2 linked regions of the Coturnix japonica genome follow. The protein of the gene in region 2 interacts with the protein of the main gene of each other region in a pairwise test. Links are inferred from orthologs where the notes say so. Each region holds a gene or a part of one and is shown on either strand. Other genes may lie near its edges.

Region 1 (3,649 bases), on a different chromosome or scaffold from region 2:
AAGAGCCATATTCCAGGCTGGAGTTCTCCTAAGCCATTCCTAGAAGCTATTGCTTCAAAAATAGATGTGTGAGGAGCGTTGTTGGGGTTGTTTTTTTTCTTTTTTTTTTTTCTCTTTTCAAACAGGAGTCAGTCCTTGCTGAAGTCATGTGGGATGGGGTGAGTTTGGTGATTCACATCGTTCGCCCTGAATGGCTTGCTTGTTCTCCAGAATGTTTTTGCAAATTACTTTGTGGTATTGTCCTCCACATGGTTACTAACCAGAAGCATCTACTAGGAAATTCTGCTCAAAACATTCTGCTGTGTGTGGAGAGTAGTTCTTGTGGGAGTGGGAAGGGAAGGGTGTCTGAAATTGGGTAACAAGCTCACATTCCAATGCAGCTGTATAGAAGCAGTTATTATGGTTATAAATAGGCCCAAGTCTTCAGCTCGCTTGTAAACAAGCACTGCTATTGGAGAGCAACTCTTTAACTTCAGGTAGTGCTTACATGTAATTTCATTGATCACTAGTTTCAGTTTCTTAACAGCAGATTTTATTTTAGATTGTTTCACAGACGAGATTCAAATGGGGATGTTATCGCAGCTGGCTTCCTAGCACATAAGATCATACTGAAATTACAGGGGCAAAGTTGCAGATCTGCTGTGTTAGCAGTTAAAGACTTACCTTGCTCCCCAAGCATGCTGTTATTTTGGGGTATTGATGCTTCTTGTGAACTGTTTTCTGCCTCCCCAGTGATTGTTTAAAGGCTTTTGATACCGCTTGGCCCTCGAGGCTATGTTATATTTTCAGCATGCACTGATAAATAGAGGTCTGGTCTATTGTTTATCATGGGGTGAGAGGGGATGTGTTAGGCCTGTTCGGGTTTTGTTAAATGAACAAAGAATGCTTTCCAGTCAGGAAAGAGCAAACCTACTTTTCCGTTTCCTTCTAGCTCCTTCTCCCTTAAAATAAACTGTTCCATCAGTACCGCTGCCAGTTTACATGCAGTTTATTATAGCCTTCTCAAAAACAGGCTGTAAGGGATTTCACTAATTTCAACGGTAACCTCATCTACACTGTGCACAAATTTGCTTTCCTTTCTCTTTGGTGGTGAAAAATAGCATCCCTTAGGAAGACGGGGTTGCAGGAAGGATGCTTTACAGCACAGGCAGGAATCTAGGTCACGTTAGGGTTCTTTGATGAGTGACCTTCCTATGCCCTTCAGACTCATTTGTTGCTGTTCCTGGTCTGAACTTTTGCAGGGTTAAATGTACATTTATCAGTCAGTTCTTAGGGCTGCTGGGTCTAAGAGAGTAAGTTTCTAATTACAATGAGTTGCAGCTATTGGTAACTCCAACTGTTTTTTTAATTAATACTATGTTAACACATAGCTATGTCAGTAACATGCTCTTAAGCATTAGGAATCATACAGTGGTATAAAGCATAGCACAGTATCTTCATTCTGACTGTACAGCAACAAGTAGGATGACATGTTTTGGTTAATGGAATGAACAACCATTACAGTGTACACGTCAGGCACTAATTGATCTTAAACTGTTTTCAGCCCACTCTTAAGTTTTTTGGATCAAGTTGCTTAGAAATGCTGAAGAAACTTTAGTGCGTAGTTCCCTTCGATACTCAGATACCCACTTCTTGGAAGAGAAGGGGAAAAAATCTTGCTTCTGAAGCAAAGTTTGTACTTTTTCAGATGAAGAGAAGTGACTAACATTTTATATTATCTTTTCCCATCTCTTCCCTTGGATTTGCCCCATCCGTCTGTTTAAGTTAGCACAGTGCATCAGTTAGATCATAGACTGGCCTGAGATAGACAGCAAGTTGACTGTTGTTAGTATTATTTGCATATTTTTATAATCCTTCTTTCATTACGCCTGGGAGTGGGATTTTCAAAAGACATTGAGCCAGCCTAGGCTCAGAAACAGTAGATGTTCTTGTTACTTTTGAGCAATCAATTAGCACCGCTAGGAGGAAAACAGCATGCTTAGTTTGCCCTTCATCTGCTCTACTGCTTGTTCCCAGGGACACAACAGTGATCAGCCACTCACCTAACCCTAGCTATGACACCTCGCTGGAAGCTCGCATTCAGAAGGAGGAGGAAGAGATCCTGCTTGCCAACAGGAGGTGTCTGGACATGGAAGGAAGGTAAAATGCAGTTTGTCCCTATTTGACTACTTTAGGACAAGGATTTTAAATGAATTATTCAGGTAGATGCCTCAGAACCAGAAATTCACGTGTCTTCACCAGTCACAACAATGTAGAATGCCAGACATTTGTTTGACCAAGGAAGTAACTGCACAGCAATGCAAAACCTGTATTTCAATTTAGTGCCTAGCTTATTCCTCTCTTTTCAGGCCGTCTTCATCAGACCCCAAGTTCCAGTCACTTCTTTATTGTTTCACAGAGTTGTTTTTCCCCAGGGGAAATCGCAGGGATTTTTTGTTGCAGACTCCCCAGACTTTGTGAATATTCTTTTGTTGTTGTTTTTTTGGCCTCATGTCCCACCCATAACTCTCAGCTTTGCTTCAGAGCATCTTCCTTGCCTGTTTAGAGCAGCTTCCAGTAGCCAAAGGTGAGGGGGTGTCTCAGTGAAGTTTTGTATGTAGATGTACAGGAGGCCTCATACACTATGCCGTGTAGTGTCAGAGAACAGCCAGTATTCGAGGTGTCCTCTCCATGCCTACCTGAATGCCCAGGGGAGTTCTAGTCACAGCTGTGGGGTGCTGAGGCCTCAGTCCAAAGTGATGGAAGTTGAAGCATGTTGTTGTCCTTTGTCCTTTTCAAAAAGGATCAAGACTCTGCACGCTCAGATCATTGAGAAGGACGCCATGATCAAAGTCCTGCAGCAGCGCTCCCGGAAGGAGCCTGGTAAGACGGACCAGCTCTCCTCCATGAGGCCTGCCAAGTCACTGATGTCAATCTCAAATGCTGGCTCGGGCTTGCTGTCCCACTCATCCACGCTGAGCAGCACTCCCATCCTGGAAGAGAAGAGGGAGGACAAGAGCTGGAAAGGCAGCCTAGGTAATTTTTAAATAATGGTGGTGATTAAGATACACCAGTCTCTGCCTATAGGGGAGGCAGGAACAGCAGAAAGTAGATATCTGACAGACAGATTGACTGGCTTAGCATGCAGGAAAACTGCCTGCAAGCAGAATGGAACACACTTGCAGCAGCTGCTTGCTTTAATCATTTTTGGGGAAGCTGTGATATCCAAGCTCAGTCATGAAAATTGTTCAGCTTTAATTCCCACTTGGTTTGGTACCTGATAAAAGCAGTATTTGAGATCTGGTTTTCAGAGTTCCCAGGCACTTGCTTTCAGCTGGGCTGTTACAGCTGTCTGAGGGTGTAAAGTCTCCTTCAGCCAGCTGAGATACAGATCAGGATTGCCATCCTGTAGAGCTGTGCCTGCACTAACATGACTTTTGTCTGGAATGGCTCGGCACTATTGTTTGGAGAAAGGAAATTGTATCAAAGGGAATCTTAGATGATGTTTTTCTTTCTCTAAAGAAGTTGGACCCAGGAGTCTTCCCTGAGTTTCTGATAAGTAAATGAGAATCTCTTGCAGCTGATCTCAGGGTGTGCAGATTTATCCATCTGCAACTGAGCAACTGCTCAGAGTCAGGGAAGTAGGATGATAGTGCCAGCTCACTAATCT
Region 2 (3,749 bases):
CGTGGCCACAGGAGATGGGAATTGATGGGACCCCAACCACATTTCATTGCCTCCTGGTGTTGCAGATTCCAGCCCACACCTCCCCCTGCTCGCAGCCTCCCCAATGCACCACTGCCTGCTGCTCTGCTGGCTCAGGAGCATGCAATGCACACATGGCCGTGCAATGCACAGACACACACACAGTGAGCATGCACTGCAGGTGGCAGCCTGGTCCTGCATGGGGCAAGTGCATGGAGCCAGGAGTTGGGTGAAATGTGATTTAGGGACTTTTGGAGCCACACTGTGCAATGAATGGCCTTCATCTCACCCAGGACATAACTCCGTCCCTTTGAATCCTGCTCTTGCTCTTTTAAAGTAGCTTTTAATTTCCTGAAGGGAGAGCTTTTAATTCATTTCTGGAGCATTGTAGGGGAAGAGGAGGGGAAAATGGCTCTGAAATCCACCACTAAGCTCCCCCAGCCCCGAGCCCTCCCTTCTCTCCTTCCCCCTCCAGCAGTGTCCCCACTCCCCATGTCCCTGTGCCCGGAGCTCCAGCTGACACCATGGCCATGGCATAGGGGTCCTATGGCACAGTGGGGTCCCACCACTGCCCCCCATCACTGCTCAGCATCACTCCCAGCAGTTTTGATGCCCAGGCCATGGGGTTGGCTGCAGCACAGTGAGGCTGTGCAGCCAGGCTGGACATCCAGGCAGAGGGGAGGGTTGGATGCTCACTGTTTCTTTCACCTCGTGCTGTGCAGGGAGGAACCCCAGGGCCCATCTCGGTCCTTATGGGGTTTCTTTGAGGCCAGAGCAGCGCTGATCTCTTGGCCTTCTAGGAGTCAGCAGATCAGATTTAACCCATAGCAGCGCTATTCCCCCATTCCCAGCCTTCTCAATACAGCGGCAGAACGTCTGCCCACAACACCCCAACCCCACAGAGCCTCATTATCCACAGACCGCCCGCGGGGCTCCATGTGACCCCCCCCCCCCCGTGCCCTCCCGTTTGATGCCGCAGACAGACGGCTCCCAGCGGGGGGGGACCGCGAGGGTCCCTTTGGGATCCCACGGACACCGCGACCCGCATCCCACGGGGGGCAGCACCCCACGACCCCAACCCCAACCACCCCAACATCCCCATCCCCTCCCCGGGTGATGCTGAGGCTGCCCGCCTCGCACCGCATCCCAGCCGGGTCCCTCCCTGCAGCCGCCGCCCTCCCTCTGCCCACGGCGGCGGGGACCGCAGCTTCGCTCGGAAGTGCGGCTCCGTGGCACCTCCCCGCGTGGAAACGCTTCCGCTCCCACCGGCGGCGGAGCTGCGAGCGGCCCCGGTGAGTGCGGGCGGCTTTGCGGGGCGGCTCCATCCTTTAGGGGGGGTCCTGAGGGTGGGATCAGCGCCGGTTCCCGCAGCCTCGATCCGTGCGAGCATCCCCATCCCTGCCCCGCACATCCCAACACGAGGCCTTCGGGAACGCCCGGCTGCGGGTCGGCCCCGCACTGCCCGTCCCCGTGCGGTGCGCGATGCGGGGCGGAGGGATGGGGGTCATCCCGCATCGCTACGGAGCTGTGGGGGCTCGGGGAGGTGCCGTGTAGGGCCGGGGGTTGGGCTCGGGGGTCTCCGTGGGCAGCTCCGGGTGTTCCTTGATTGCAGCGCTGCCCCATGGGACCCCCCGACCCACCGGGCTGATCCCTACGGGGCCGATCACGGGGATCCTTCACGTGGTTGTTGTGAGCGCTGGGAGCGCTCTCCGTGCTGATGCTCCGGAGATAAGCACGGTGTTCTCCCTTCCCTCTCTGTCCCATCCGCTCCTTTGGGCACCGCTTCGGGCACCAGCACACAGCAGGAAAGACCTGGGGCAAGGAGAGCCCTTCTGCCTCCATGTGCCGGGGCAAGTGATGGAGGAGGCTGACCCACATCCCCACCGCAGGGATACCCAAATCTCAGCACTACAAACTCCCTTATCCCTGCAAACCCGGGTCCCCCCTTTGATGCGGTGCCGCACTGTGGGCTCATCCCCACGTCTCCTTTGCAGGCAGCACCGCCGAGATGTTCGCCCTGTGCCCCCCCGACGCCCCATTCCCGGGGGTCCCCGCTTTGAGCTCAGCCTTTTCGGGGTCCTTACAACGCAGCCCCGACTCCAACTGCAACTTCGCAGGGGACGATGAGTGCGACAACAACCAGAACTGGAGCCGGGCTGACGGGGGGGGCAAAAACAACACTGCAAATCCCTCCGATAATCTGCTGCTGTTAGCACAGAGACAGATGGCTCCGGGCGGGATGGGGGACGTCGCTTCGAGCTCAGCGTGTGCCCCCCAGCAGGGCGAGCGCAGCCCCCCCGAGGGGGCGGAGGTCGGGGAGGGGGAGTTGGGTGGATCCCCGGCGGAGGATATCGGCTATGCCAGCAGCTCGCTCAGCATTGACAGCCCCGACAGCGCCTGCGGCAGCGCTTGGGATCCCCCCGGGGACCCCCCCGAGGTGTCCGAGCCCCCCCCGGAGCCCCTATTCCCGGCGCTGGCGGAGGCGGTGCAGCAGCTGCAGGAGAAGGAGCGCTTCAAGGAACGGGAGAAGGAGAAGCATCACGTTCAGCTGGTGATGTACCGCCGCCTGGCCCTGCTGCGCTGGATCCACGGCCTGCAGCAGAAGGTGCTGGAGCAGCAGGACCGACTGCAGGAGAGCTTCGATACCATCCTGGACAACCGCAAGGAGCTGATCCGCTGCATGCAGCACGGAGCGCCGTGCCCCGCTGCTGCCCCCAGCCCCTGAGCTGTGCGAGCATTCCACGCTCTGAATCCCGTTCTGCTTCCCCGCAGCTCTCCACCCAAATCAGGGCTGAGTGCTGGCTCTGATGGTGATGTTGGTGCACGGGGTTTGTGTCAGCCCCATGCTGGGCATTGTGGTGCTCACCCTATAGAGCCCATCCCATTAACCACAGAGCTTTAATGCCTTTCTCCTTTCACACCTGATGTGTGCACCCATTGCCCTGCAGTGCAATGTGCTGCTGTGCATTGGGGCACGGTGCCCTGGGTTGTCCCCAGGACTGACCACAGCCCATCAGACACAGCAGCAGAGAGGAGCTGCATTCATGCATTAAGTGCACAGAGAGAGAATCACTCTGAAAAGTGACCTCAGAATGCTCAGAAATACTCATAAAGCATCACCAGGCCCCAAACCCTGCGCTCTTATTTCACAGTTCAGTGTTAGGGAAGAGCTGGTTTTGATTTATTGCTATTTTTTTATTGACCAGGTCATATAGATGCACATCTGCATGCTGGGGGAGCTGTGTTAGCACCATGCATGGCCGCAGAGCTGCTCGCCAAGCTGTGCTCATTGCATTCTATTGTTGTCTTAAAGCAAAGATGCTGTTTGGGTTTTCTTTCCTCATGCCTGTTTTAACCAGCGGGGGCTGCATGGGAAGTATGAAGGACGGCCCTTCTTACATAGAGATTAAAAAGGAGACGCTGTGTTTGTGTGCTGTGCTTTCTCCAGTGCTGCTGTGACCATTGAAGCTGCTGCTGTGATGGGCATTGGGCTGTGCCTTGTCCCTGTGGGAGGCTGAGCACCGCTGGGTTACCCCCTTATTCCCTCTGCTCTCCTGCACCCATCGTGGGCTGCAGCCCCCATTGCCCAGCTCCGTGCTGATGGGATGGAGATAGGAGCACCTGAGCGCTGACCCCGGGGTGACTGTGCCTCGGGCCTCACAGAGATCAAGCAGAGATGAGAAAAAGCCCTTTGAACCTTCCTTCACCCTTCTCCCCCTTCTTGCAGAGCT

What was found.
Region 1: the proteins of C23H1orf216 (region 2) and AMOT interact in binary tests that used the Homo sapiens proteins (3 or more experiments, as listed by UniProt). The two-hybrid records come from large-scale screens. The link is inferred for Coturnix japonica from reciprocal best matches to the Homo sapiens genes C1orf216 and AMOT.

What each region holds. Positions count from the first base shown.
Region 1 is NC_029519.1:12,294,856-12,298,504, forward strand, and holds part of AMOT (angiomotin), read left to right. Parts: intron 1-2,016; coding exon 2,017-2,139; intron 2,140-2,782; coding exon 2,783-3,015; intron 3,016-3,649.
Region 2 is NC_029538.1:3,768,351-3,772,099, forward strand, and holds C23H1orf216 (UPF0500 protein C1orf216 homolog), read left to right. Parts: upstream 1-1,142; 5' UTR 1,143-1,310; intron 1,311-2,012; 5' UTR 2,013-2,026; coding exon 2,027-2,743; 3' UTR 2,744-3,443; downstream 3,444-3,749.